3 linked regions of the Oryzias latipes genome follow. The main gene of each other region encodes a partner of the protein of the gene in region 2 in a complex. Links are inferred from orthologs where the notes say so. Each region holds a gene or a part of one and is shown on either strand. Other genes may lie near its edges. The genes, in order: nfe2l2, keap1 and fbxl17.

Region 1 (10,167 bases), on a different chromosome or scaffold from region 2:
AGCTACTACAAAGTTATTGCATAGTTTCTATGGTGCTGAAATACACTATTACAAAGGCGAAAAGTGGCTTTCCTAGATCTTAAAAGTCTTTTTCATGCGAGGGACGAGAAAGATGCTGCCGTCTGTGGACTGCTGCAGGGAGTACTCCGACGGGGAGTATGAATTCCCCTTCTCATCCCTCAACTTGCCAAAGACCTCCAGGTACAAGCTGTTAAGCTGTCGCTTCATTTCCTTCAGGTTTGTGGCGTTTTTACTCTTCTCGTCCAGCAGACGCTCTTTTTCTTCCTTTAGCAAGTCCAGTTCATGCTCCAGACCCACTATGTTCTCCATCTTGCGTTTGCGGCAGTTTTGAGCGGCTACCTTGTTCTTGCCACGGCGACGAATGTCGCGGACCAGGGCCAGCTGGGCCTCGTTCAGCTCGTGCTTTGACATCATCTCGTTAAAGTCATCGACGGGCAGGTTGATGATCATGCTGACTGTGAAGGGGATTTTAAGGGCCTTCGCCCTCTGCTCATCTCGAGAGAGACGCACATCGGAGCGTTTCTTTGGTTTGTCTTTGGTGAACGGTGTGCCGCTGTGACCACTCTCTTCAGCCGGATCTTCCATATGTTGCTTTGGTTTCTTGTCGAGCTGCTTGCACTGCCCAGTCTGTTCCGACTCTGGTTTTGCTAGTTCAAGATCCTCGGGTTGGAAATTCAAGCTGAACATCTCCGAGTAGTCAGACTCAGCACTGCCGGGGTTGTGGTCCAGGTCGTCCATTTCGGAATCACTAAAATTATAGGAGCCCCCTCCATAAGCAGATTTGCTGGGGGAGCTGGAATAAGGACTGGAGTGAGTCGAAATTCCTGAATCTGAATCTGGGAAATCTGCTGGCAGCCGTTTGCTTCTGTCAAACACATCTTCAGGTGAAAGGGTGTACAGGTCCATGGGCGTAAACGAGGGCTTGCTTGGTATCTCGGACACATTTTCACTTTCCTCGTGGCCATGCTGACTGCTGCTCTCTTCCACGATGGTGTCAGGATAAAAGACACTGGAACAAAAGCTGTCTGGGGTAAAGTTTGGATTCACCTGAGGGTCTTCCACATTTATCTGGCTGATGTCAGATGGAGCCATACTGGGAACAGGGCCATCACAAGTATTCATGAATTCTCCGGGACCAACATTTAAATTTTTTGTTTTTAAATCTGAGGCACTGGGCATAGGGTAGTAAGGAGTATTTGGGAACAACTGGTTGTTTGGGTAACTTGGATTCTGCACTTGAGGACTGGTCTGAATCGGAAAATTTGTGGCCTCCATTGTTTCATCCACTTGCATTTTGAAACACTGTTGGAAGATAAAAAGACACAAAGTTTAGGGGGAGAAAAAAATAATAAGGGCACAGTTTCCATAAGGCTCATTAATTTTAAATGGTTTTAGAATTATGTAGGTAGACAGCATTAAAATCTAAACATCTATTGGCAGAAATTGGTTCTAAATCAGAGAAGCCCAGGCTTGAAATCAAGAGCTGCTCCATTTGAGTGGTGTTGTACCAATAGCACATATGGAGCTAGTTCACACCTAATGATGTAAATGGATAATCCTAAAACATGGGAACATAGTTTCCATGCTTTTTGAACCTTTCGTACAACAATTCCAAACATCCATTTTTTGCTTCTGAGCTAGTTTTAGCAGCTTGCCCAATCATGTTAAGCCTCATGGTTATCATTGTAATCTAGTGCACAGAGGGACAGGACTAGGCAAGTAACACGACTAAACTCCGCCCTTTGGCTAATGCAAATATGAGGTGTAGCTACCGGAAAGAGACAAAAAAAAAATGTCTACACCTTTTACCCAGTTAGCATAAGCATCATTAGTGCCGCACCTTCCCCGAACTACACGCCTACCAGTTCTGCAACTTTAAGGTCACAGCACCAAACTGTGAACGTGTAATGTTTTTAATGCTTTCAACTGCCAAAGCAATAAAAATATTCTGTAAGAAAATGAGCAGAGACATTTTCTATTTATTTGCATCTCTCACAAATAATTTAGCCCAAGCCTCCTTTTGTTCATTTGAATATTTGTTCCAAACAAAAATGGGAATTATACCTGAAGCTCTGGGAGGGACAGAATCTCCATCCAGGCCTCCTCCAGATCGGGGGTAACTCTTTGTGGAGGAGTCAGCGGGTTTGGGAGGACAGCGGGGGACAGGGCCGGCTGTTCAGAGGGCATCATGGTGCCACTGGGGTACACCGAGACAGGAGGCAGCTCCATGCAAACTGAAGGATTCTGCGCGGCAAACATACATTTGTAAACCAGAAGTCATACCATAGGCTGTGAATTTGTGGCAATTAGAGATGAAACTCTTACCTCAGTTTCCCCTACAGGAAATGTCTCTGCCAGCAGTTGCAAACATTCGTCAAATGACATGCCATCTCCAGTCTCCTCAGTGAAGTTAGCATCCTGCAATCATCCAAGCAGAGCCCATTGAATGAAGAGGGAGTGGCCCACCTCTGACACAAATAATATTACAATGTGCCTGTACCTGAGAAATTTCGATGGATACGACAGCCTGCTGCGGAGGGAGGATGGGTTTTGTGTGAGGTATGTACTCTCCAGTCTCTTCATCTAGCTTCAGCTGCGCCAGCAGGGCCTTCTCTTGCTCCCGCAGCAAATGCAGCTTCTTTTCTTCCTCCAACTGGCGCTGCCGCTGCAGCTCGTGCTCCTTCTGCCGATGGTTGTAGTCGAAAACCTCTCGCCTGGCACCGAGGTCGATGTCCTGCTTCCAAAGTATGTCAATCAAGTCCAGGTCCTGAAAAAACAACCGCAAACAAAAGAGTTGGAAGCCATTGTGCACTCCTGCAGAGAGAATACGCTTAGTGCTGAAAGGAGAATTATTGTCCCTGCTGTGAAACATGGCTTTTGCACCTGCCACACCCTGTCCCCTCCGTATCTGTTCGCTCACAGCAACACTGGAGTTAATGTCACGAGGGAGAATGGCTATGAATAATAAACATGCTTCTCTGTTTCCCTTGTTGCCGCCACACACAAGCAGAATCCCAATTTGACACGTATACCCATCTCATTACTCCAAAGTGTGAATTCTTTTGTCTCGTTTAATCTCCCGGACAGTCAGGTAAGGTCTCAATGATCAGATTAAATTTCACTCTGGTAAACTAGCCTCAAGTGCTTTTATTTGGTAGCCTTTATAAGATAAGAATAAGAATGAGTGATCGTACATGTATAGCATGATCTGGAAAGAAAAAATGTTACACAAATAACTTCATAAAGTTTAGGGTAAACATTGCAGGAGTGTAAGGGTTGAACGTTAGACATGATATAAACTTTGTTCCATCCATGTCTGTGGACAGCTACGGTAATCTCTGGACAAGTTTGCAAAACAAAAGTCCATTTTGAATTCTGGGTTTACATAGAAATAAGCATGAAAATGTTTTCTAACCATTTCCTTTCAAATTGCTCTCACAGACTCAAATGTTACTTAACTTTCAAACAACACTCTTAAAGACAAATTATGCTACGCTCTTAGGGATTTTTTTTCACCATAATTTATTTACAGAAGAAAACTATTTCATAAGGCCTCAGGATATTGCATAAACCCAAGATACTCTTCCACAGAAAAAAACCACCAGACCATATGACTTTTTTTTTCTCCCCCAAATTCCTATGAAAGTAGCATATGAGCTTTATAATATTCTGTTTTGTGGTTTTCGCAGACTGAAACAACCAAAAAAAACTAGAAAAAAGGAACAAAAAGCAGACATTAAAACAATCCACTAACAGGCTGTGAAACTGCACTGAACAATATCAACAATTCTCTTTTTTTTACCTAAAAGAAAAGACATGCAGCATAAATAATCATTAACAAACGGGAAAATATTTTGGTCACTGTTGACACAGACTTTGAGACAGCGGCAAAGCAAAATAAGAACCCACTAAGTCTGTGCTTGAGTGTTGCATCAGAAGCTGGACCATTAAAGCATTACTCATTACTAAGGCTGGTGAGCATAAATCATGGCAAAGAGTGTAGAAGCCCAAAACCAGGAATTATGGTGGCTATAGGAATGAGGAAGTTCCCTAAAATGCTGCAGACCCCCTAACACTGTTGTGACCACACCTGAATTAAAGAAAAGGGAAAAAAAAAACGACTAGAAAAGAAGCACATTCTGAAACCAGTTTGACAGCTTTCTTAAAAATCCAATAAATACAATGTAAAAATACAATCAAGCGTTCAACACAATTCATTTTTCCAAAAACCAACTGTAGATTCAGAAGGACTACATATAATAACATCTTAAAAATCTTTAGATGGTATAGATTAAGCAGACAAACAGTTGGTGTGTGCATTTCTTTGTTTTGTTTTGTTTTTTTCTTCCGACACCGTGACCTTGATTCACCACAGTCTGACTGGCACGTGAACAAGGAAGCTTAACACGGGAACATTCTCAAATTTCCCAGATAATACGCAGGCGGTGAGCAGCTAAACCAACACAACCATCATGTACTACTTCTAAAATAGAAACGGAATGTACCAAGACCAACCGAAATCATTGATAACTCCTGCAATGTATGCCTACTTTAATGTAAACAAAGTCGAGTAAAAGGGAACTTGTGTTTATATTACACAAACTTATAACATTATGTTCTGGCAATGACGACACACAGCTTTTACAAAACTTAAAACATGGCTGAATGAGTCTTTCAGGGGGGCGTTGAACCAAAAGCAGCGGATATTACGTAAACTAACTTAATTCCTATATTGATTATTATTAGCTTAATTTGTATTTGTATGGAAAACCAGACAGACAGTAACGACACAACTTTTGAAGAACCTAAAACATAGCTAAACTTAGTCATTTCGGGGGAACGTTAAACCAAACACAGCAACAACAAAAAATTAAGCTAACCTCAATTCCTTGATATTATTAGCTTAATTTATATTTACATGAAAAAAACACGAGCGACCTCAAGCTGTGGTTCTATATCATGTGACACCAAAAAGGGGAAGAGCGAAAGCAGATGCTAATGTTATGTTTTAAGGAAGATACAAGCAAATCGCTACTCTAACAGTTTCACATTGGTTATAAAAGACTTCACTGCATTAGACACGGAATCACATGCTAGTAGTTCTAGTTATGGGATGGCGTTGGAGGGCCAGTCATAAGGAAGCAAGATTCCAATCTGTTTATACAAAACTTCACCCAACTTTGAGAGAAAAAAAGGCTACATGTTATAGAATCATGCATTACAATAACAAGATCTGAGTTTTGTAAGTCAATGAATGTGAAAGACTGACAACTTTCAGAAAATAATCTTAAATATCCAGAGCCATCAGCTGAGTGAGTAGCTAGCTTAAGAGACAGGTTGACGCAAAACATCCTCACAACATTTTTGTTTTCGCAATAAAAGCCTGTTATAGAAACTGAATATATATGAAACACAGCGCGAAGTCCAAATTTCTTTAAAGATTACTGTGAAACTATAATTGTCCGATCTCTAATAAAAATAAAATGTATATTTATGTTTACCTGGTTGGAATCTCCCATCTCCATCATTGTCCCGCAGCTTAAACGCCCAAAGACGGAGAAATAGTAGTGATAATCCAAATTTTTTTAGATAAAATGATGAGCAACCAAACGCCACAAGGGGCCCGTCACAGCGGCACCGGACTTTCGGGAAATATTGCCTCAGCCAAGGCTGGTAAACGTTAGGGAGCTGGTGGCCCGCCCGCTGGGGTCGGCCCACTCACGACGGCCTATGAGAATGAAGGGAAGCACTCAGTGAGCATGCGCGTTGGGCCAACTGGGCTCAGATGCAGCAGTTTTACAATGGTAGAGATAACTGTTGCACAACATATCAGTGGTTATCATGTAAAAGTTATGATCTATGAAAGAAATAACTACCGCTGGGATTTAATAAGATAACTTTTATTCAAATCAACTATTCAATAAACTCATAAAAGTCACCGACTTGCGTCATATAGATATAACTGCTTCAAGTTTTGTTTAGTGTATAGCGGCCCCTTCTGGTCACTTTATGTTATGTCATTGGACTAAAGGTTCTTCAACCCTCATATCCCCATGACTGTATTACAATGTAAAATGTCATAGAATGACCAAGAAAGGTAAAATATTTTGTCCAAATACTTTTTATTCACGATAGGGAGTTAACTCAAACAGGATTTTCACTATTTTTTCTTCACAAATTGTGTTACCTCTTAAAATAAAGTTTACAGAGAAACGTCAAAACAAACTTTTGATTTAGATAGTATGTAAGATTATTATGACCCTCCAATACTGTCAAAACTATAAACATTCACAATATGTTTGAAGTCAATATTGACTTAAACCAAAAATATCCTAATGTAGGCCATTTAGATTGAAAATTGAACTTTAGTCTTATTTATTATCAAATCAGCGTGAACTCTGCATGAACCTGGTACTAATGTGATGGAGATAGCCAGTTCTTGTGACAAAGACATGGTCTGTTTTTGCACTCTGTGCGCATTGTACCAATAAAAATAAAGACAAACACAATTCTTATGATATTTCCAATACTGGTAGATCTACAATCCATATATATAAACACGGGTTAAAATTCATCCAAAATGGGCTCAGAGGACAAAACACCAGCATGTACAGGTATAAAGTAAAGTACTTTTGATGTTTTGGAAAAATTATGTGATTTTAGCTAAAAGTTGTTTAGAAGTGTCTAAAAATGGTCAAATGGAACCCTAAGTTGTTAGTAAAATGGAGCAAAACGTTTGCCTGAAAAAAACAAAAGTGGAGGGTATAATAACTACGGTACATAAATTGCATGAAGTCCTTTTGAAAGTATTTAATTTATTAAACTACTAATGATAAGTGACTATGGTGTATTACTTAATTTGGGTCAGCACAGCACCTAAATTGTGGGCAAAAATACTAAGTACCTGTGTTGTTGTTGTTTTTTTCTTTTTATGAAGCTGAATGATAGTTCACTGGAAGTAATAAGGAGCAGTTTTGCAGCCCAGTGTGGGCTCATTTTGAATTTTCTAATGAGATGAACAATCAAGGACTCTCTAACGAGAGTGATAATGATAATATTTGATTTCATTCTTAAGTAAAGATAGGACTAGTTAAAAAAATACAAGAAATATCCTGAAGAGAGTGAGAAGAAGTAAAATCCTCAAAATTTTAGACCAAATTTATTACTACACCCAGTGCACCCATTATCTATTACAGTATATCTGTTTCCATCTCTGATGGCAACACATCCAGGATCAGATACCCATAAACACTCACATTACTACAGATCAGTATACATACATGGATGCATTCAACACATTTTTCATGAATAAACACTCATTTGGTTCCTTTAAAATCTTTTCCCCTCAACACATTAATATGCACCCCCACACAATTCAAATTTATATTCATGAATATCTACAGATTTATCACAGTTGATTCATGTTTTATACATATCTATCAACAAAATTTCCATATGTCATCTTAAACTCCTTTATATTTGGACATTGTTTTTAGTGTAAACTGATTCTTTTCCACAGCTTCCCTTCACATGTGGATACACAAAACCTTTTTTTTTAGCATGCCTTGTGTATAATAAATATACTTTTTTCACAGAAATTATGTTGTTCATATTTTTTATGAATAATTTTTTTTGGTAATATACTGCTTTCTGCTTTGCATATTAATAAAGCTACAGTATTATCACAAAGTTTGAGTTATTTTGACTGAATAAATAAGTTGTTTGATTTAAAGTAAATGCAAACTAAAATAATTTTAAGATATACTGGATATTTTTGCATTACTGTTTAAAAGACATAAGCAACCAAACTTTAGGAAAATAACAAGCATTTCACATTTGCACGTTGTGTTTTTATTAATATAGTTTTTTGTTGTCAGTTTTTGCTCCTTTTTTAATCCTGTCTATCAAACGTTATTTGTTTTCGTAACCGTGGAATGGCTTGACAGAAGACTGCTGGCAAACATAATCTCACTGTAATCTTTCTCATTAACACTTGATCGAGTTTGACTCTTCTGCGCATTAAAGTGAATCATGAAGAGTGTCCTTTCAGTGAAAGATACGTGGTCCTGTCTCTAGCACATGTGTGTGAAAAACTTTAGCTCACTGTGCCTCTGCGTGAAATTACACACACAGAAAAAAGGCAGTTTTTTTCTCCCCCTGTGCGCGCTCATGAACACGCGTTCACGTTTGGCAGCTCCACGTCGACATTCTTCCAGCTGCATATAGTGAACTGCACAGCACTGGGGGAAGAAAAGGTAAAACCCTAACACTTCAGGGCTGCAACTTCGCAGACGGACACCAACCTCACTGAAAATAGACTTTTGCACTTTGAATCTTTGCACCGTCCTCTGTTCGCTTATAGTTGTGTTTTTTTGCGTTTTGATCTAGTCTTTGCCCCTCGTGTTGGATTGCAGCTGGTCCCTTGCGGCTACCTTCATCAGGTACAGTATGACTCGCAGGAATCGCCTCACCTTTAGTCTACGTTTAAATTGCTTCCTTTTTTCAGGATTGTACTACAATAACCAGTTAACTTTTTGTTTCTTCACATACTTTTGCGTTGTTACTTCAGTAGATTGCTGATACAGTGCCATGTCAACGATCTTCAAACTGTTGCAAGTTGCTGGATTCAGCTGGCTTTTTTTAAATTTGCATTTTTCTTGCTTAATGTTTCCACACACAAAAAAAGCTTCTTCTGAAGGGCCTGTTCAGTTGAGAACGTTGTTGAAGATCAACAGGTTGAACTGATAACTCCCTTAATAATCCTTATAAAGATACAAAAAAACACAAAAAACTATAAACTTTAGACTTCTAAATTGAAGGGGGGGAAATTATGTACATTTTGCAACCAAGCAGATGGCCAGACTTCATGTAAAATAATGCCATTCAATTTCTAGGGAGATTTTTCTACCCAGTCAAATAGCTGGAAATAACATTTGCGATGTTCCCTATAAATGTGTTCAATGGTGTAAAATAAAAAGACGACACCTGTCCTGCTGTATGTGTTTGATGTTATCCCAAACTCTCTTCGTTAGGACTTAACATCTTGTTCCATCACATTTTAAAAAGAAAAATCTGCAATTCTGTGTTGTATTTTCACAGTAGAAAAATCAGTTTATTGTTAAAATTGTCTTCCTGTATGTCCTGTTCTTTTTTTTGTGGTGGTTGCAGGATGAAGGAATACGTACATGAGGTCCCATAGAAGGACAGACCTGTGAGGTGGCACTGTGGCTTTCCAAATAAAGTTCTGTGATACACTCAGACTCTTAACTGCTTGCAGTCAGTGCATTACAGAACTTTGTTTTGGGAGTTAATATTTTATAACCAGTGGGAGAAAAATCTTGACATCTGGACAATTCAATTCTCAGGACAATACAGACATTTGTTCGGAATATTATAAATGCTGTCTTAATAAAGTTTCTTTTATAAATGTGTCACAATTTTGTTATTATTATTGTTTTAATTTGCCCCTGCGGTCTCTTTGTGTTCTACACTACTGTTGCCCATTTACAATGCCATGAAATGATTTTAAAAGAGTCATTGTAGAGCAGTGCTGTGCCATATGGAAACTCTAGTCATGCTGGTCAGGTGATTAAGAGGAGGTGAGTGAGGCAGAAAGGTAAACAGCATTTCATACTCTTTCAAGTGATTTGGTTTTTTTAGTCACATGAACAAATCTAGTCGTTTTTAGATTTTTTTTAATACAAATAGTTAATTATTCATTAGTACATTTTTTTCCATCATCTTGCAGCACTCCAGAACTGTCAATTGTTTACAGTTAAAGTAACCCTTGCACCATCGTTTACTATGTTTTCTATTATGAAATAATAAACACATAGTCAACGAAAAGCCCAAAACATTAAGAAATAATTTTTCAATCCAAAGTGATTGGGGAAAAAGCTGCCTGTCTTTTGCTGCAATGCATGCCGGGAAACGTATGAAATGATGCATTCGTGGACTCATCTTTAAATTTACTGTGATGAAAACATGTCGAGGGTAACGATCATTTTGGTTGAGAACAAGGATAAATGTAACGTTTTAACTATAGTAATATGCTTAATTACAGGCAGAACAGAATTTCCTCATACTTGCCACCAAGTTGCTCTCAAAACTATCCAGATAATTTGTAGCAAGTAAAAAGAATGAGAG
Region 2 (9,563 bases):
AGATTAAGATTTTATTGGAGGATGAAGTTTTCAAAGAAAACTTTCATGTTTTTGCTTCATTTTTCTTTTTCAGGAAGTTGCCAGAACAGGTCCTTTAATTTCTGTACCAGGGGTGTCAAACATACGGCCCACGGGCTGTATGCCCGCCAGACGGTTCAATCTGGCCCAGTCATGAAGAGTAAAAATTAAAAGGATAAAAAAAACACGTTTCTAGTCCATTCCTGGGGCGAGTTGTGATTTTCTTTTCAAAGAAATAACCGAAATGTGCAAATCCGCCACTAGGGGGAGCTAAGGAAAGGCAAAACAGGTTAAACAGCATATCTTTGCATGTGCCAAATGCGAAACCTAACAGCTCTGTCTGAGTAAGATGTACAGAAGTTTGGTTCCGCGTGAGCCTCACTGCTGTTACATTGCTATAAGAATGATCAATAGTGACACCCTAATGACCAAGATGTTGTCAAAAACAAACAAAAAAGGTTGAAGTGGAGGGCTGAGCTTTTCAGGAGAAATGGAAAGATTTTTATTTGTTCACAGAGTTGAATGCAAGACCTGCATGCTTGGTATCTTATCAAAAGGTGCTCAAACACTACAACAGTCAGCACCACTATGAGACTCACCATAAAGAAAAGTTTCACCATTTGCAGGGGGAGTTAAGAAAAGAAAATATTTATCAACTGTTGCTTGGATTGAGAAAATAACCGTCTGCATTTACTGCAGCCGTGACACCAAGCTACAGAATTCCAAAAAAGTTGGAGCAAACATCCAAACCATTTTCAGGTGGTGAACTTATTGAAAAATGCTGAAGGCTGCAGAAGTCACAACACTAAATTGATGAAATTCTAGCGCCATCTGTCGGTCACTACAGGTTGTGACATGTATACGTACACACACACACACACACAGACACATAAATATATACATACACACACACACACATATCCCTTGTGCTATCTTAGATGACCCCACCCTTACATTGATGTGTTCTCCCTACCATGACAAAGGTGGATAAAGATGGACAGATTTCATGTAATCCATGGACACCAGTGAAGATCACAAATCATTGAAGAAAAAAGGTTCAGCGCACTGTCCAGTGGGTCTAGATGACCCAACTACCAATGGTAAAGTGCCTAGGATAGCACAAGGGTTAAGGGTGGGGTCATCTAAGATAGCACAAGGGTTAATTGCCGTGTATCTTCTGCCCGAAGGCAGCAGTTTGAACAGAGAACGTTCAGGGTGTGATGGATCCTGCAGAATGTTCCGAGCCTTTTTTAGGCAGCGGGAATTGTACAGTTCTTCCAGGGACAGGAAGAGGGCAGCTGATGATCCTGTGGCCTCTCATGGTGACTCTCTGGAGAGCTTTCCTAGCCGCAGCTGTGCTACTGGCAAACCAGGCACAGACACAGTATGTTAAAATATTCTCTATTGAGCAACGGTAGGACACTTGCAGTGGCTGAATGTCTGTTTTGTTCCTCCTGTAGTCCACCACCAGTTCCTCTGTCTTTGTTGTGTTGAGAATCAGATTGTTTTTTCCACACCAGACACAAAGCCGCTCCACCTCGTCCCAGTAAGCAGACTCATTTCCAGAGATAAGCCCCACCACTGTGGTGTCATCAACAAACGTAACCCTTGGGCCATCCTAGGCACTTTAACGTTGGGATTTGGGTCATCTAGACCCACTAGACAGTGCACTGAACCTGTTTTCTTCAATGATTTGTGATCATGGATTACATGAAATCTTTCCACCTTTATCATGGTAGGAAGAACATGTCAATGCAAGGGTGGGGTCATCTAAGATGGCACAAGGGTTAATGATGGTATTGCATCAAATATACACATTTTGAAATAAATACAATTACAGTCATTTGTAGGAAAAAAAACATTGAGAAAGACTTTTTTTCCATTTTAATTCCAACTAAAGACAGAAAAAAACTCAGAGTGAAGTTTTTTTTTTTTTAATCAAACATCAGAAATTAGCATCAACAGGATTTCCACTTAGTCACAATGCAAACTAGTTATTAGAAAAGGCTACACAAGGAGTGTGTAGTTACAAAGCAGATGTCAGTTTAAAGCCACTGGAAAATCACCGCGTCTCAACAAATAAATTAAAGAATGAACTCTGGAATTCTGTACAAGACTTTTCAGATTATGAATGAATGTACAACATCTGTCTTTAAAAACATGTTTGTAGCTTTAATTGCTGTTACAAATACACTCATTTCAGCAAGGTTTTGTCATTAGTATACAATATTTGAACACTAACGCACAACCATGCTCACTTCTACATTTTCTAAGGTCTCTAAGACGTTGAAACCAAAATGACTCCAGGTTGTGTCATTTTGTTCACACAAACACAATCGGTGGGATGCTGATGGCAGTTTGCTTCAACTGCAACCTAAACTTTTTGTTTTTTTTGGGATCTGCACACCACTAAACTGTTCCTTTCTAAAATTCTTCTGCAGTTTTACTCAACATGTTTGCTGCTAAGGTGATGCTAACCTATTCTGTCTTTGACACTCAATATAAGACAATGGGCTCCGTTCAAAATGTAAATGTTGACTATTTTTTTCTTCTTCCTGGGGACATAAACCATTTCTTCTGAACAAAAAAGAAAAACCGGCTTACTGTGGAAAACCTCTAAATGGTCACTTCACAGAGATTTCCTTATTTGTCTTCTCTTCATAAAGGATGTTGGTACTGGTGACCTCAAAGTTCTAACATTGTTATTAATTGTGACCATTTCGCTTATTTCCAGAGGTTTTTGCATTAATTGAGCAGAACAGAAAGGAAAAAAATGGTTGTTTGAACTTGATGTTCAACATGGAGACCCTAAAAGTTGTCACGTCTTCTACTACCTAATCATACAAAGATTCATGAAAATTTAGGGACTTGAAGGAAAATCTACTTTTTCTGATAGAAATATTTACAAAAATGGTCTTGTGTGGAGCTTTGTCTTCAACAACTGGATGAACTGGACCAAACCTGGGGAGTGTCTCGACACTATACTGATAGGGGAATGGCCCGCAGGCTCTACAATGGCACTTTAGACTCGTCTACCTATGAAAAGGACCATGTTCTGTTCCCATAAGGAGGTGGTTCTCTCTTCCATCTCGTGAAAACGACTCTTTGAGCCTACAGGAACCTCAGTTTGCAGTTTTTCCACAGCAGAGAGAACAGATGCGCAGAGCTCCATCATCTTCAACCATAGACTAATGAATCACAATTGGAAAAATGGACTTGTGCGGATCATACTTGGTTTACAGAATTCAGTGCAGATGGCTTTAGTTAAAACCAGAATCATCGCTGCACTGATAATACTAATGACTTTTTCTATGTGCGTTTCATTTTCCTCTCTACAATCAGTCAGGATTTGTGTCCTCATCCGTCTGTGTTTTCATTCTATTTTTAGGGTTCTCGTGATCGGAACCGCGGCTCAGAATGAGGCGTCTTTTCCGAAGGGTCCATTCGAGAACTGACAGTGTGGCCTATCGCAGCCAGCAGATGGATCCGCCGACGGGTCATTTTCACACTTCTGGCTTTTCGAGAGACCCTTTGGGCAGGGCTCCATGGTAACGGCCACGCCCACGCCACTCCGCCCTGATGTCATGTGAGTGACCTCCATCCAGGTGTCCTCTTTTGGGTCATAGCACTCCACGCTGTCCAGGAAAGTGCTGCCGTCATAACCTCCTGCAAGGGCAATGTTCAAAATGTATGGTTTACAATAAAATCCATTCGAATTTTTGTTTTTGTCCGTGAGAATATAAACGGTTCAAAAATTGCTCTTCCCATCATAAGTTTTCAAAGTTAAACATCTTTTTGTTAAATGTGTGACAGCTTGGGGAAAATTGACTCACCTAAGACGAAGATGCGTCCACATAACGCAGTGACCCCCAAAGCACTGCGCCTGTGCCTCATGGAGGCGACAAAGCTCCAGGCGTCCGTCTCCACGTCGTAGCGCTCCACCGTGTTCAGCTGGTTGGTTCCGTCATACCCTCCCAACACGTAGATGTGGGTGTCCAGAGCGCACACGCCTGAAACGGGACAAAGGTCACTCAACTTTTCTGCTGACTTTGTGGATGGAAAGTTTGAACGCAGCACATGTTCTTTTACACCCAAACAGTGAAATACCAACTCGTTTCTCAGAGAAATGTCTCTGTTATGACTGCTTTTTTAGATAAACGAGTACAGTTTATTCTTGAAGATATCTTAAGTTAGTCTTTATGTCAATGACGGGCCGTTTCACATTAATCTCAATGGTTCAGGTGTGCGACTTTCTTAGCATTTTTATCTGATAGATTAAATAAGCAGCATAAATATAGCTAAATATAAAAACAAAGTACATGTTTTTGACAAAAAACAAACCCCAACGTCTGAAAGGCTCTTTTTCCTACAAAAATTGAAGAAGTATTGAAGTATTAGTCTTTGTCACATGTGTAAAAGTACAAACTAAACTGTTCAGCTCCAGTCCTTTCCCTGCAGCTGTGTGTTGGTAAAACACAGCCGACCCCGGCGATCAGCAGCAGCAGCAGGTTTGGACTGCCCAGCACTGAACAGTAGCGGCATAATCTGCACATATTCAGATGCAATGTAATCAGTCCATCAGAAGCACATGCACGAGCTTCTAAAAGTAAAGGAGGGTCAAGCCTGCTACGGTTATAAGAAACCTTAACACTAGCATGAAGGACGACACCTATTTGAATTAATGTTTGCAGACGTCTTCCTAGAAGGGACAGAACATCTTAAAAAAAAAAGAAAAGGTGAAAGAAGAAAGGAACTGTAAAACCACACACTGCTTCAGCAGGACCCTTCTTTTACAAGCAGCCTGTTTGTGAATGAAATGAGTAACATCGCTGATTCTGTGGATGTTCTAACATTTTCCTCTGATTTTGTGGTTTCTTCCTTACCGGCTCCGGACCGCACAGTGTTCATGGAGGCCATGGTTCTCCACTCATCCCTGTCAGGGTTGTAGCACTCACAGGAGCTCAGCCGGTTTGCTCCATCGAACCCCCCCACGGCGTAAAGGAGCCTGTTCATGACGGTGACGCCCACGCCGATCCGTCGCGTTAACATGGGGGCCACCAGCTGCCACTGGTCCCTCTCTGGGTCGTACCTGTGGAGATCAGATAATTATCATGAAAGACCCACTAAGGTGAAAATTTTTAGTGTTTCTAATATGTATTTTTCTCATGATGGAGGACATATATAAAATAGCATTTCTGAGTTTTTCTTTTTTCAAATTATTGTGAATCAGGAGCAGATGAAAAACGCTACAGTCGGTGGATAACAAGCCTCATGCTCCGCTTCATTCTGGTGCTTCCACTTGCAGACAAATAGATCAACGTACGTCTTCATTTTCCCCGTCTGAGCTGGCATCTGACTCAAAACTGTACAGCTGGGTAGCTCCGATATTGCTAGTAATTTTTGTTGCAATGATAGATTGGGGGTGTAATAGGCCTGCACAATAAATCAAACATTTGTCGTCACGATATCAAGCTGTGCAATTCGCATATTGCAAAAGTCAGCGAAAATTGCAGTAAATGGTTAACTTTAATTTGCTGGAACAATCTTATTTAACGAATCAAATAAATCTCTTTATGCATTTGACCAATCAGATGGACTCCTTTCCATCATTGACCAATCAGATGGAGCCCTGTTATTTTAGATGTTCGCCTCCTATGTAGACTAGGGTCATTTAGAGTACAATTTAAGTTATGTTGACTCTTATTTAAATGAAACTGTTGCAGTGAAATGGAAATTCTGTTTTTGGTTGTTTTGCTATTTGTTCATGCATCGCAATTCTGATCACTAATAATGCTCAGAGTTTTCCTCACATCGTGCAGCTTTTGGCTGTAAGCTAGCGGGAATGTGTATAAACAGAGGAGAGGTTGCTACACGCCGACAGCCTCAGAGGGGAATTTTTAGATGAACTACTGCCGCTCTGCAGATACTATGTCATAGAAAACTATAGTTTATTTGATTGAAAACATCATAATCATAAGTAATAGACCACAGGGAACGGTTTGAAAATAGAACAAAAGATGATTGGAGTGCATCTTAAAGGATTTTTCTTAAAAATATGACACTTGATTTGAAGAATTACTCCACATTAATGCTGGATTAAATTATATGAACCATTTTAAAAGGGGAAGTTTGCTAATGTGATAAGCTAGGAAGAGAGGGTGTAATGATCAAACTGCCACATCCCAGTCAGCAGGTTCATATAGATGACTATGCTGATAAACAAACACAATCACAGCTACTTCTACACATTTTCTTTAAAATACAAGGACTCACTTTAAGGGCGAGTTATAATTCTTGTGTAATATTCTCACATCCCTGTTAAATCTTTCACTTTAAAAAATAAGTTGTCAAACAAGCAAACATTAACAGAACATTTTTAGCATTTTTTCTCTTCGTTTTTCTTCAAGCTGGCAGACTGGCGAGTCCTTGAATCAAAGGAAGTTTGTTCTGCTTTTTGCTGTTGATAGAATGCAGCACCTGGTTAAATGAATGACTGTAACCAAGTAGCAGACGTTTCTTTTCTCAACATCTAGTTTGCACTTCTGTTGCTGTAGAACTAAGCTTCCCTGACGTCATCACCTGACCATGTAGACAGGTTTGGTTTGTTCCTCTTTCAGCGTAACTTTGGCTAGCTTAGTTAATAATTGCAGTTTTAGAACTAAGGTCACGCTTTAATGTTATTTCTTTTAGTTAAAAAAAGAAAGAAAAAAAAAGGAGATCATTTATTTAACTGAATGTAAAACAAGCCAGTTGAACCAGTTAAAGATTGTTCCCCAAATCTAAACCACAGTAAATATTTATGAAACCAAAAGGAATTTAGAATATAGAAGTTGACCTTCAATTTTCTGGCATAAATTTGTAGATTTTTACAAGAGTCAACCTGTTGATAAGACAAGAATATGCAACATTTTTAAGAAGTTACCAGACACTTTGTTTGTGGCAAATCCAGCTTCATACAGTCAACTAAATAAACCACATGTCTGTAGTACAAACACAGCTGTCTGGACGTCAACAGACCGCAGAGCAACCAACATACAGAGGTTCAAATCCTCTCACATCAACAGGCTTAAAAGCTGTGGAGCAGAACGTCCTGATCACGAGTGAGTTTGATGAACCGTCTCCTTAGACTTACCGCTCCACACTGTTGTGATGAATGCAGCCGTGGGAACCGCCGACCGCATAAATCATGCCGTCGATGACGCCCACCCCGATCCGGTTCCTGGGGACGCTCATGGGCGCGCACGGACACCAGCAATTGTTCATGGGGTTGTAGCAGTCCAAAGCGTTGGAATCCATGTTGCCGTCGGGCGCGTTGTTTCTACCGCCGACGGCGTAGAAAAGGCCGCTGATCACACATGCGGCCAAACCACTGCGGGGCACCTGGAGGTCACTTAGCCTCAGCCATGCTCCTGTACAGGGGTTGTACGCCTCCAGATAGCTGAGGGACTGACGGAAATACCCCCCTGCCGTGTAGATGAGCTGAGGCACCTTGGGTGTTCGGCAGGGGTTTACTTTGGTGGGTTTGTGGAGGGTGAGCTCCTGGAAAATCTGAGCCAAGTAGTCTTTGCATTGTGGGTCCCAGTCTAAGGACTGGAGCTGGGTCTGCAGGAAGTTGGGGGTCAGGGAATGGCAGCGCACAGCCTGGAGTAAGGCTTGGACGTAGGGTCTACGGTTTTCGTGATCGTAGCGCACCCAGGCCACGCACGCCTGGAAGACTTCAGACTCGCACCGCACGTTGAGCTCGTCGCGGCTGATGAGGGTGACCAGCTGGCACTGAGACAAGTTGAAAAACTCCTCCTGGGTCGCTACCTGGAAGAAAAAAAAAATACAGCTCAATTACCTTCTTTCCACAAATGAAAATCATAAAAACAAGTTTTTTTAAACAAGTAGATGACCTGAGCAAAACGGTTTTAAAACATATTCTGTAAAAACTACTAAAAAAACAAAACAAAAAAAAAAACAGTTATTTTCATCTTAATAGGCATTTACATGAAAAAATATTTCAGTGTTTACCTGGAAACAGATTACAGTTGACTTCCTGAACAAACTGACTCAGCAGGTTCTATCATGTACCCATTTTCACTTTTAAAAACTTTTGCAAAAACAATACTCTGACTGAACAGAAGTAACCATAGACTTTTACAGCTATTTCCTGACATTGAGAAAGAATAAAAGAACCTTTTACACTTTCAAACACGTTTTTTAATTAAAAAACAAAAACAAAATGATAAAAGCTCTCAATGACAAATATTTGTGCAACAAGACTTTCAACTCGACATGAATTTGCTTGCTCATCTTGTCAAAGATCAATTAACTCTGACGTACAGTCATATTTTGCCACCACGTATGCTCCAACCATGACAAAATAAAGCTCGCCATGGGTCATGGCCCACTGCAGCGGGAAAAGCACCCACCAAGAACCACAATGGAAGATGTGAAACAGGTTTCACTTCCAAAACCACTTCAAATTCCCCACTTTTTCTGATTGGTGGCAAGTCAGTGGAAAAATACAAGCAAGATTACATAAAAGTTATCTTTGCTCTGTGACACTGCCTTACTTGGCTGAAGTTCATGTAGATGTACTCCCTGGCTTTCTGGTGGAGCTCTGTGCAACCGATCTGCTCGGCAAAGTTGGCGATGCCGATGGCGTTGCTGGGGTCGAGCTGCTGGACGAGGAAGTCGCAGCAGGCCTTGACCACGCTGTCTATCTGGTACATGACGGCGCCGTTCATCACATGGATGACGCACTTCTCTCCCACGGAGATGCTGGCAGTGTAGGCAAACTCAATCAGTCGCTCCATAACCTGAGAAGGAGTTGTTTGAGAACTTTTTCATTCCTTAACATAGAAACTAACAGTTACATCTTCAAAAGGGAGTTAAACATTTAGATTGGAAACGAGTTAAACTGAAATCCTCTGGAGACAGAGCAGTCCCTCCATATTAAAGCAGTTGGGCATCTTCTCTTTGACATCTATCCTGTTTACATCCACTTCACTGCACCACAAAACGTAAACTGTTATTCCAAGGCGTGACATGGAAATAAACCCCTTAAAATGATGAATTCTAAGCAAATGCCACTGACCTTGGGGTGAATCCCTTCGATGGGAACCAGCTCAATCCCGCACTCCTTCAGCCCGTTGGTGAACATGGCTCGGAAAACGGGCGAGGAGGAGGCCAGGACCACCTTGTGCGCCACAAAGTCCACTTCGTCCAGGTCTTTGTAGCGCACCCGCAGCGTGACGTCGCATAGCTGCCGCTCCAACCGCAGCTCGTTCATGATGGCGAAGGCGGCCGAGGTGTGGCTCTCCAGCGTGTAGCTGAAGACGCGGTGACCGTTGCGCGTGGAGGGCGTCACCAGCGCTTTGCATTCTGTCAGGCACTCTGTCATTTCCTAGAAAGGGTCTTTCTCCTCTTTAATGTCTTTGCTTCAAGATCGGTGGACACGGTTATTGGGCATCCTGGCACCACATGTGAAATGAAGTCGAGGTGATCGTTTTGCAGAGCTCCAGTCTTTCCAGTTGTCACAGCGTCTCTGTTGTCCTTCC
Region 3 (10,341 bases), on a different chromosome or scaffold from region 2:
AAACTGGAGAGGCTGATCTCATTCATATGTATTGGTTATGTCCCAAAATACAAGTTTTTTGGGGCAAAGTTGGTGAAACATTGATAGCTGTATTTGGAACTAAAGTTCCTTTTTGGAGTCAGGAATACAACCCTAAAATTGCCTACTAGGGGTCAGGAACTAATGGTTTTTTCAACCCTTCTGGCTCGAAGCCTAATTCTTTTGAAGTGGAAGGATGTTGCCCCACCCACAGTGACACATTGGATTAGGGAAGTGCTGTACCATATCTCAAATTAGAAAAAAATCGTTATACTGTGAGAGGCTCAGAAAGAAAATTTCTTGAGACATGGAGGCCTTTTCTGGACTTCTTTAATCAGCAGCCTACAAAGGTTCAGGATTAACTTTGGTTTTATGCACAGGTGATTGATTTTGTTGTACCTTCTGTTTGTACGGCTAAGTTCTCTTTCTTTTTTCCTTTTTCTTTTCATGTGAGTATATATGGGTGTTTTTTTCCCGTTTTTTTTCCCGTTTTTTTGTTATTTTTCTGGTTTGTGTAATATATTTGTAAAATAAAATAAACATATTAAACACTAAAAAAATTGAAACCTAAAACTATTACCAAATGAAAATAATTGTATTTGTAACAGCTGCTCTTTTGTATTTTCAACTTCTATTTTTTTTCTTTGTTTGTTTCCCTTTTGCTTTCAGTGAACAAAGTGTGTAGTGTGGGCTTTTACAGCCTTAAAACCTTTTTGATTATTGTAAAAAAATGAAATGTCTTCTTAGAAGATTTAACTTATTGTGGGTTGTTTTTAGAATGTTACCGCAATAAATGAGGGACCACTGTCCACTACTCTTTCTTTTGACCAATGTGAATTACACACCATCACTTTATGCTCAGGTAGAGAGAACACATGAAAAAACAAGTGACCAGAAACTTGAGTCACGTAAAACGGTTCCAACAGAACAAAAAAAGTACAAAACTATGAAAGAAAAGGAGGATAACTGACCATTTTGTTCTCCTGCAAGTAGAGCCTCTGCAGTTTTGGACATCCTTTGACCAACGCCACCATGCCCTCATCTGTGATCCCGTAGCACTGTCCTAAATGGATATCCCTCAATTCACTGCAGTGTGTTCCCAGCTAGAAGCAAGAAATGGGGATTTAATGACTAAAGGAAGCAAAGACAAGTAAATGAAACCATCAATTGTGTCTGTCTGATATTAAAAACGTTAACCAGATATTCTTTGCATTTGTTACGGCCCTGGGCCGTATCAGTATGTTCCTGTTGCCAGTCGTAACACATTCTTAGAGAAGCTTGAAAAAAATACCTTCTTCAGTGATGCATCTGTCAGTTTATCCTGGTTTCCAACATGCACCTTGACCAAGAGAGGGCAGTGTGAGGCCAAAGCGGACAGGGAGATGTCTCCCAGCTGCTTGCACCTGTAGGCTGTGTACTTTTGCAGGCCTGGACAGCGTGAGGCCAAGGAGGACACACCATGATCGTGCACCCCCCTGCAATCCGAGATGTTGATCTCCGTCACATTCTGCCTTCGAGAAGCAATTTTCACAAGGAGATCGTCGTTAACCTGAAACAAATGACATAAAAATCAGATCTTGCATAGTTTTTACAGGCATACTCATATCATATGGAATTACTGAATTTTTTTAAATACACAGAAACTAAAAAAACAACAGCAGGAAGTAATATTTTTACAAAATTCAAAGACCAGCTTCAGAGCGTGACATCTCTTACTTGTTGTAGGCCACTGAGGTCGATTTGCTTCCAGAACTGAAAGTCCAAGCAGAGGTCCCTCCAGTATTTGCAAACCAGAGAGGCACAAAGACAGCGTTCCTTCACTGTCAGGTGGGACAACACCTGTGGTGGGAGGAAGAGGAGGAGGCATTTCTGATTAACAACTAATGCTCGTTTGACAAAACAGTTTATAACAGGGAAAATCCTTGTTAATTTCATTGCGCATTTATCATAAAACACAAAAAATATCATTGTATTGACATAGTTAGTTGACATAGTTGAAGTCCCACTCTGATCATCTTTTGATCTATTTTTAAAGTATTCCCACTTTATTGACGCTATCCAGCCGTAGAGTTTAGAGCCAGATTAGGAAAACAATGACAGATATGGATCTATTTGTCTGCAAGTGGATGCATCAGAATGGAGCGGAGGAGGGAGCTTGTGGACCGCCAGTTGTATTTGATGTCACAAAGAAGTTCTCTTTCAAACTGCATTTTTTCGTCTTCTCCTGATTCACAACTATTTGAGTAAAGAAATACTCAACAATGCAATTTGAGCTACATTTTCTTTACATATGCCTTCCATTATCAGATAAAGGCCACAAGAACATGCTAAAAAAAACACGTTTTAATCGGACTGGGTCTTTAAGTAAATGGGAACAAAAAATGATGAACTAAAGCCCTTCTGACCTTGAGAAGGATGGAGGAAGGCAGGTGGTTGATACTTAAGTGATCAACAGCATCAGAACTTCTCGCCTGAGAGTCGTCATAGTGATTCAGGCAGCAGGGGGAGGAGTCTGAGCTGTGGGGCGAGTCCATTTGAAGGCCCAGCCCGCAGCAGCCATCAGCAGGCAAGGAGGCGGATGCAGAGGAAGAGGAGGACGAGGAGGGAACTGGGCATAGTGGAAGGTGGCAGTGGCCAGTTTCAGAGTTGGAGCCAGCCTCTTCTCCTCCCGTTCCGTCGTGCTCCAGCCCTCCGTCAGGAGCGGCAAAGGCACAGCGCGGCTGCTTGCAAGGGGTGCACCTGTGCACCTCGGAGCACTTCCTCTTACACACCTGCAGGCAGAAACACACAATCATGTAAAGGTGTGCTTTTCAACCAAAACACACCAGGCTCACATTCAGCTGATTATCTTATTTATTCACTGATGAAAATGTCTTCCACTTCTGACCATCTAAAGTTATATCTAACCAGCCTTCTTTCAAGCCCAAACACAAACCTCTCTTTTAAATAAATGATCAAAATATGAATATTTACTCCTCCAAGAGTAACCAGCTGAAGGCACCATGAAGCAAAACAATTTGACCCATCACCACAGATTCCTGCTGCACCTTTTCAATGTGAGGTTAGTGCCTACCATCTCAGTGTAGTCGACGGTGCAGTTGGGTATAGGCACAGGAACGGGCACAGTCACAGACACACCAGCCGTTCGGAAAAGAGCCGGCGCTGGAATCAGTTTGGCAGGAACGGCGGATAAAATGCCCCTCCCCTGGCCCTCCCAGATCCCCAGCTCCCTTGGGGACAACAGGTACTTGGAGCACTCCTCAGGTGAGGCGATTGTTGCGTATCGCTCGGCGAGTTTTGAGGCAGCTGCTGGTCCGAGGCCGACGCCCCCAATGTGCGCGACACTGATTCCGGTGATTGTGTTGTGGCAACACCCGTTCACGCCGGCCTCCAGATGGTCACCGTCGTCGTCCAGACCACTGCTATTGCTGTGGACGAGGAAACAGAGCATGCACGGGCCCTGCAGGAAACAGTTCCTCTTCTTCTTCTTCTTGTGCTGCAACTTGCGGGTCCTCTTCTTCAGGCGTAAACCATTTTTCGAGAAAAGATGGCCCATATAGAAGATTCAAGGTAACTCTTGGAGAAAGAAAAAGAAACAGAAGGGAATCTTACATTTGAATAACATTTATGAGAGAAAAAAAAAAGAGTTAATTAAGTACTAAAAGTGTTTAATCATTCCTCTTGAATCTTTAGACAAAAACTTTTCAGGGTTACTTCAAAAATATTGACATTGGCAATAAAAAAAGCAAAGTTAAGTTAACATTTATGTCAGCAGAGGATTTCATGTTTAACTTGAGAAAGAGGTTGACAGTAACCTGGAAATAAATGACAAGCCAACTGATTGACCCAGAAGAACTCTGCATTCAGGCTAAAATATAGGCTTGGTTAATTGGTCCAGTCATGTGACAGAACTGAGTAGTAAATCATTCCATTCACAATTACAGGTTGTGTATAACTATCACAGAAAAATGGAATTAAACATTATACAACTTTTTAGAGCTTATTAGAGGCCACGTAGAAAGTTTGGTTTTACTGGGAATCTTCCACGAATGAATGTGGAAAACATCAAATAAAAGAAACTCTGGAAATAAGATCTTTTCCAAATGAAATTCCTTTTATAAACAATTTTTTTTATTTTAACATAAAATGAATGTTTTTTTTAATCAGTTTTTAAAAATTGGACTGTGGTTGTACAAAGCCTGAAGAACACCAATTAAAAAGGCTGTGAAACAAACAGCACTCCCTTACCTCTGAAACATTGCTTCTCTCCATCTATTCACCACAGCCCATAATAACATGACTGCTTTGGCCAATTTTATAAGAGTATATTTTATTGCTGCTTTGATGTTTGTTTTCAACTATGTCACTATTTTATTTAAAGCGACCTTGAGTTTCAAGAAAGACAATTTATTATTATTATTATTATTATTATTATTATTATTATTATTATTATTATTACTGTGTATTAAAGCTAAATATTGCATACAATGTTTGATTACACACAAGATTAAGGTTTCCATAAATAAACGGCTTTTTTCCTGTAAACTGCTAAGTTCTTCCAATGAACAAAAATGAAAAGGGAAATCCTTAATTGACTTATCAATCAGGTTTTTCTCAACTTTTGACATTGACTGCAACTTTTGTGAGTCAAAGTTAATGTGATAGAAATTGGCCATCGGTTTTAATGCCTAAACTGCTCGTCCTCCTTGTCGAATCTGTAAACAACGAGAGCTCCATCCATGCATCTGCTGCTCTCGACTGCTGCAAACACAAAGATGTAGACACTGAACAGGTGGTCGGGTTTTACCACACACAAACAAAGCAGCCAAACGCTTATCCCACACTTTGCAAAATGATAAATATCCGCTCACAGTTTCAAACTCCTTTGGAGACAACAGCTAGGAGCCCTCTGAGAGGCTAACCTGCTCCTCCATCATCAGACAGATGCTAAGCTAGCTGTTCTCCTCCAACATGGAGCAGCTCTCACCACTTGACACGCTGCTCCCTCCGTCCGGACGCTCTTCACATAATACTGCGCGGGTTGACGGTAGCGGTGAGCGCTGACACGGAGAAAGGCGGCCGCAAACACACAACCGCCGAAGCGTCTGTTCAGACTCCAGCAGCTTGGCTCTGCTGCACTTGAGCACAACACTTCCGCAGCGAAGGGGGGCAGAGCTACAGAAGCCGGCGAGGACAATTTCGACAGCAAACTTGCTTAATAACAGGTAGAAGAATCCCAGACGACTGATGATCAGATGATTAAGAGGGTGACATTTTTCCATCACCTGTAGATTTGTATTTATTACTCGTTTAATCCTGGGAGTAATTTTATTGTTTCAAGAAAAATATCACGCAGAGAGTATGCAAATTGGACTTTGAATACACAAAGTAAATATAAAATGTGAGAGACCGGGATTTAATCGGATACAATAAAAATTTCATAGGATGCAAAAAATCATCCTGAAGATACCAAAAAGGAACCAACCAAATAAAGATGTATTTTTGTTGTATTACTCCTGTCCAGCTGCTTCTGTGTTGGACAGTTAACAATCTGGTTCATGCATGTTGTTTACATGGAAGGTGCACGTCAATATAAACCTCTTTTATATTCGAAGAAATGTCTTTTGTTTTAGGCTCTAGACCTTAAGAAAAAGAATTTGATGCTAAACGATGGTGAAGAATATGTATAGAGAGAAATCGTTGGAGAAATAAAAGAACAGAAAAACATTTACCTGGAGAAAGAAATGAGAGAAGTAAATAGAAAAATGACACACAACCAAAGATGAGCAAGGATTAACAAATGTCAGTTATACAAAATTGTGCTTTTGTTATCCACACACAACATACATATCCACTCTAAATTGTGCCAGATGAAAAAAGCATTTTTACACAAAAAAATATGAAGAAAAAAGACAAACAAAATGGTGATACAGAAAGAGAAACATAAAAACACCTTCTTCAAACTCAACAAACTATAACAAGTGGGAAAAAAAACATTTCATATTTAAAAATAGAAACAAAACCTTCATGCAAAAATCTATAACTAAAGTATACATAAAACACGCATTGCCCTCAACCCCCCACCAACTCCCATTGTGAAACATTAAATAGCTTAAATAAGAACAGGAATAGAAATGTGGTTTAATGAAGGCATTACAGGGCTGCACGGTGGTGCAGTGGTTAGCGCTCTTGCCTCACAGCAAGAAGGCCCCCAGTTTTAGTCCTGGCTGTGGGACCTGAAACACAACACCAATGGGGACCTTTCTGTGCTTCATAGGTTAACTGGTTACTCTAAATTGTCCATAGGTGTCATTGTTTGTGTGTATGGGTGTGTGATCTGTGACCCTGCGACAGACTGCCAACCTGTCCAGGATGTCCCCTGCCTTTGCCCAAAAGTGGCCAGAAACGAATAACATCTGTTGATTTCCTGATCTCTGTTGTTTTTCTAAAATGAAATTGTTGTATTTTGTGTGTCATACACTTTTTGCTCTACTTGTAAAAAACACGTTTTTTTATGATGTATTACTTTACAAGTGTTATACTGTGAAAGCATTCTGTTAAAGTCCTGCAAGACATCATTTGTACCCCAGTTTCCCCAGGATTTGTGTGTTCAGAGAAACTAAACAACACATATTTTCAAACACATTTCTGCAATTTAAAACAAAAATACAAAGCTTGTATAATTGTATGTAGGAAAATGAAAAAAAATCAATCATTTGGGTATCTATTTTGAATCTTAGTTTAATTAAATAATAGCTTTACTGTAGACTTCTTTTAACCTAATAATAATGAATATTTATAGTTCATCATACAGTCTGAGAAAACCTTTCTTTGTTACATTTGGTTAAATGTATGCCAACTAAACTAATGTAAAAAAGCAAAAACAAATAAAATAAATAAATGATAAACAGTTACCATATGCATTTTAATATTGGTGAACAAAAATAAATTTCTGTTAACAAGTTGAACAAGAGATAAGATCATTTTATTTAAAAGGTTTACAACACAAAGGAGATTTTAAACAGTGTTAACAGAATGATAATCAATCGCTTCTGTGCACTAAAAGCGCATATTTTTCAGTGCGTCTGTGTGCGCGTGCACGCAGAGTTATGGGCGGAAACGTGCAGTCTGGCTGCAGCTTTTCCAGCCTGAACGGCAACTCACAGAATAACACGCAGTGTCGGGAAGCAAGAAGGAAAAAAATGGCTGCAACTGTTCCACCAGTAACCCGACAAATAACCAAAGACAGCCACAGGAAAAAAACTGAAAACCCGCCTGTAGATCTGCAAGAGGCGCAAGACTGCTTGATCTACGACCGACACGGAGTCTCCATTCCGTTCAAGTCCTTATATCAAGACAGGAAAGTTATCATCGTTTTTGTTCGGGTAGGAAAAAACTGTTGCTGTTCTTTCTTATTTTGTGAAAAACTCTTTCAGGCAGGCTGGACATGAATTAGATTAGAAAACCTAACGATGCTCAGAACTTCTTATCCAGGACTGGAGAAAAAAAAAACCTTATTGAAACCTTGGAGTCCTGCTTTTTTAATGTCATGTATTCCTGCAGAACTTCTTATGCTACAGCTGCAAGGAGTATGTAGAAGATTTAAGTAAAATACCCCAAAAAGCCCTGGAGGTGAGTCCCAGAGCTGCCATTTTTAAACCACTTTACGATCCTTAAATAAATATATTCAAAGGTATTACTACATTGTTGATGTCTTTCTAGGATGCTGCAGTCAAATTGGTTGTGATTGGTCAGTCCTCCCATCACCACATAGAGGTAAAGTTGTATTATCATGCAAACATTTTATGAAGTGTTTATTTAAACAACGCATTAATCCACATTATATTGTCGGAATAAAACAAAAAAAAATGTTTTTTGAAACAAACTTATTGTCAGAAACGTGTCAGTAACATTGACTGTATAAGAGACCTGGATTGAGTGGTCCCTCCCCCCTGGCGTTCCAAACAGGAAGTTCGCACTGGCTCCAAGAAGCCAAACTCCCAGACTTCTATTAATAAATGAACAGCTGTTACTATGTCATATTTGTCAGAATAACCATTCTTGCTCTGCTACTTTTTAAAAAAATATATTCTTGCATCTGATTTGTTAAAAAAAAATCAAAGAATACTTTTATAACACAGATACCTGAACCAAGTTTTCAATCATCTTTCAGGGCAAAAATATTATTCATTTTTTGTTTTTACAAATCAGCAACTTTATTTGATTGAATATTAATTCTCTGTCAAATGTTTGCGGCTGGTTTAAACTTGGACTGTCTCAATAAATCTGTATTTGGAGGAAAGCTCCTGGTTTTGTCTGTTAACAGCAGCTTTATTTTTCTTTGAAGCCGAAGACCGTTATTCTGGTTCCTCACTGACACTTTTCTCCTCGAAGAAACTTTCCAAATACGTTTAATTGTTTGGTTTCTATCAGCCTTTTAGCTTTGGGACTACTAACTTAGCTGTCCAATAAGCTGCTTAAAATCACATGACGCGTCAAGACAGACGGATGTGGTGAACAGAATCCGGTGCTTTTCCAAAATAAAACTTCCGTCAGTATCAGAAAATAAACAGCCACAAAGAATCAAAGTTGGCGTATGTATTTATTTTTCTCCCTGCAGCCTGGTACCAAGTGACCCACGGACTGACACCACTGAAATTACATTTCACCGTTGGCATGAGTGTGTTGTTTTGCCCCCTAAACTCATGGAGATGATTCGTTGGGGACCCTGGGGGTTGGGGACCACTGTCTTAGATCACACAAGCAGACTAACTGAACATACCTGGTAACATTTGTTTTGCTCTTTCACTTTCTAAATTTTTACATTCAAATTCTCCTCCCTACCACATCCTCACTGGGCATGTTCAAACACCTTTCAGGTTTGTGTGATCAGATGGCACCGGGAGCCAAAAGAAAAAACACTCAGTTAATCAAATCAATAAGAAGCAGATGAGTCACAAAAAGCCTTACCAGTTCATCCTGTTTACAGTAGCTGGTATGACCTGAAGCAGTTTCTTCTCTGCTCTCTGACGATTCTACCCTTGCTCTAGGCAAAATTGATTGTTGTCATTGTAATGCAAAGTTATTCTTTCAATCATATCAATACTAACAGAAAACAAGGATACGATGAAACATGCAGTTTATCACCTTTTTTATCTTATCTGAATAAGCAGAAAGCACTAAGTTTGATGCTTAGATGAGACACAAGAGGAGCTGAACAATGTAAACCACAACAGTTAAGGTGACAAAACTTTATCATTTCCCTTGAACCATGTGCATACTGTTGTTTTCTTTCTTGCCAATTTAATATTGAAATAAGCATCAACCATGTGACATGTTGGTAAAATCCATGTTTGTTTGTTTGTTTGTTTGTTTTGTCCTTCATCTAGCCGTTCTGTTTGCTGACTGGGTATTCTTATGAAATGTATGTAGATCCAGAAAGGTGCATTTATCAAAAGCTTGGTATGAAGAGAGAAGAGACGTTCACAGAGTCTGGTAATGTGTGTGCATGTGTGTAACAGTGGATTTTTTTTTTTCTTATAGCCTAATAAACTAAATCTTTTAAACATTTGTTTATTTGACTATTCAGCAAACCCCAGCCCTCATGTGAAGTCCGGTTTGTTAATGGGACAGCTGAAGAGCATATGGAGGGCAATGACCAGCCCTGCTTTTGACTTTCAGGGTGACATGTATCAGCAAGGGGGGGCTCTCATTGTAGGACCGGGTGAGTCATCTCAATTCTTTAAGGCTCCAGGTCTAATATTTCTCTCTAATCATATTTTATTTTTCCTTTCAGGTTCCCAAGTTCACTTTTGTCACTTTGATATGAACCGTTTGGATCACATTCCCATCAATTGGCTCCTTCAGCTTGCTGAAGTTGGAGAAACTGTGGACTTTAGCAATAGGCCAAAAATCCTCCATGTTTAGCTCGTTGTAACTGGGAAGATTACCTTGGGCTGTTATTTACATGTTTGAACAAAACCTCGAAGTTGTTATATCCTCAAACTGACACTGATCCAAAGAGCTCTGGTGATACGAGGAATGTGGGTGGAAAGCAATTAAAGTTTGGACTCCTTGGTCCTATTTATCATTCTATTCATTCTTGAGATGTTTTGAAATTTGCCCAAGGTCATTGTCCAACTTTGAAGTAAGTAGGCTATAAAAAAAGATTTAGCACATTATTATTATTATAGTTACTAATATTATTTAAAAGTCTGTTGTATTCATGGTATCGTATTAATAATATGTTGTGAAAATAAAAAAATCATAACCATATTCCTCTCTACAATATTGCATTTTTTAGCCATTTCGATGAAACCTCTT

The links.
Region 1: the proteins of keap1 (region 2) and nfe2l2 are in contact, whole or in part, in a crystal structure (PDB 3WN7), measured with the Mus musculus proteins. The link is inferred for Oryzias latipes from reciprocal best matches to the Homo sapiens genes KEAP1 and NFE2L2. Residues at the interface, in NP_001103775.1 of Mus musculus: Tyr334, Ser363, Gly364, Arg380, Asn382, Pro384, Asp385, Gly386, Asn387, Asn414, Arg415, Ser431, Gly433, Cys434, His436, Ile461, Phe478, Gly480, Arg483, Ser508, Gly509, Tyr525, Gln530, Ser555, Ala556, Tyr572, Phe577, Ser602, Gly603; in NP_035032.1 of Mus musculus: Leu19, Ile22, Leu23, Arg25, Gln26, Asp27, Ile28, Asp29, Leu30, Gly31, Val32, Val36, Phe37, Phe39.
Region 3: the proteins of keap1 (region 2) and fbxl17 are in contact, whole or in part, in a crystal structure (PDB 6W66), measured with the Homo sapiens proteins. The link is inferred for Oryzias latipes from reciprocal best matches to the Homo sapiens genes KEAP1 and FBXL17. Residues at the interface, in NP_036421.2 of Homo sapiens: His59, Thr60, Ala63, Ile66, Met67, Glu69, Leu70, Gln75, Leu76, Gln82, Lys84, Ala90, His96, Val98, Ala101, Ser102, Ser103, Ser104, Pro105, Val106, Lys108, Ala109, Met110, Thr112, Asn113, Gly114, Val122, Ser124, Glu126, Gln163; in NP_001156787.2 of Homo sapiens: Asp395, Arg397, Arg421, Lys423, Asn447, Gln473, Tyr475, Met524, Arg548, Asn572, Cys574, Leu575, Trp577, Glu596, Tyr598, Val600, Ser601, Asp623, Trp626, Lys628, Tyr647, Met651, Arg652, Val676, Leu677, Asp679, Cys680, Thr683, Leu684, Arg686.

What each region holds. Positions count from the first base shown.
Region 1 is NC_019879.2:22,679,560-22,689,726, forward strand, and holds the start of nfe2l2 (nuclear factor erythroid 2-related factor 2), read right to left. Parts: upstream 5,719-10,167; 5' UTR 5,550-5,718; coding exon 5,523-5,549; intron 2,789-5,522; coding exon 2,522-2,788; intron 2,440-2,521; coding exon 2,347-2,439; intron 2,266-2,346; coding exon 2,086-2,265; intron 1,324-2,085; coding exon 73-1,323; 3' UTR 1-72.
Region 2 is NC_019859.2:10,405,050-10,414,612, reverse strand, and holds the end of keap1 (kelch-like ECH-associated protein 1), read right to left. Parts: 5' UTR 9,407-9,563; coding exon 9,101-9,406; intron 8,823-9,100; coding exon 8,577-8,822; intron 7,828-8,576; coding exon 7,151-7,827; intron 5,108-7,150; coding exon 4,902-5,107; intron 4,029-4,901; coding exon 3,852-4,028; intron 3,685-3,851; coding exon 3,431-3,684; 3' UTR 1,937-3,430; downstream 1-1,936. UniProt on the Homo sapiens protein: Substrate-specific adapter of a BCR (BTB-CUL3-RBX1) E3 ubiquitin ligase complex that regulates the response to oxidative stress by targeting NFE2L2/NRF2 for ubiquitination.
Region 3 is NC_019867.2:7,785,945-7,796,285, reverse strand, and holds the start of fbxl17 (F-box/LRR-repeat protein 17), read right to left. Parts: upstream 5,203-10,341; 5' UTR 5,006-5,202; intron 4,999-5,005; exon of another isoform or gene 4,890-4,998; intron 3,595-4,889; 5' UTR 3,575-3,594; coding exon 3,092-3,574; intron 2,790-3,091; coding exon 2,424-2,789; intron 1,858-2,423; coding exon 1,735-1,857; intron 1,568-1,734; coding exon 1,310-1,567; intron 1,122-1,309; coding exon 990-1,121; intron 1-989. Other genes in the region: thioredoxin-like protein AAED1, read left to right, coding at 7,221-7,403, 7,582-7,650, 7,741-7,794, 9,408-9,513, 9,608-9,742, 9,815-9,945. UniProt on the Homo sapiens protein: Substrate-recognition component of the SCF(FBXL17) E3 ubiquitin ligase complex, a key component of a quality control pathway required to ensure functional dimerization of BTB domain-containing proteins (dimerization quality control, DQC).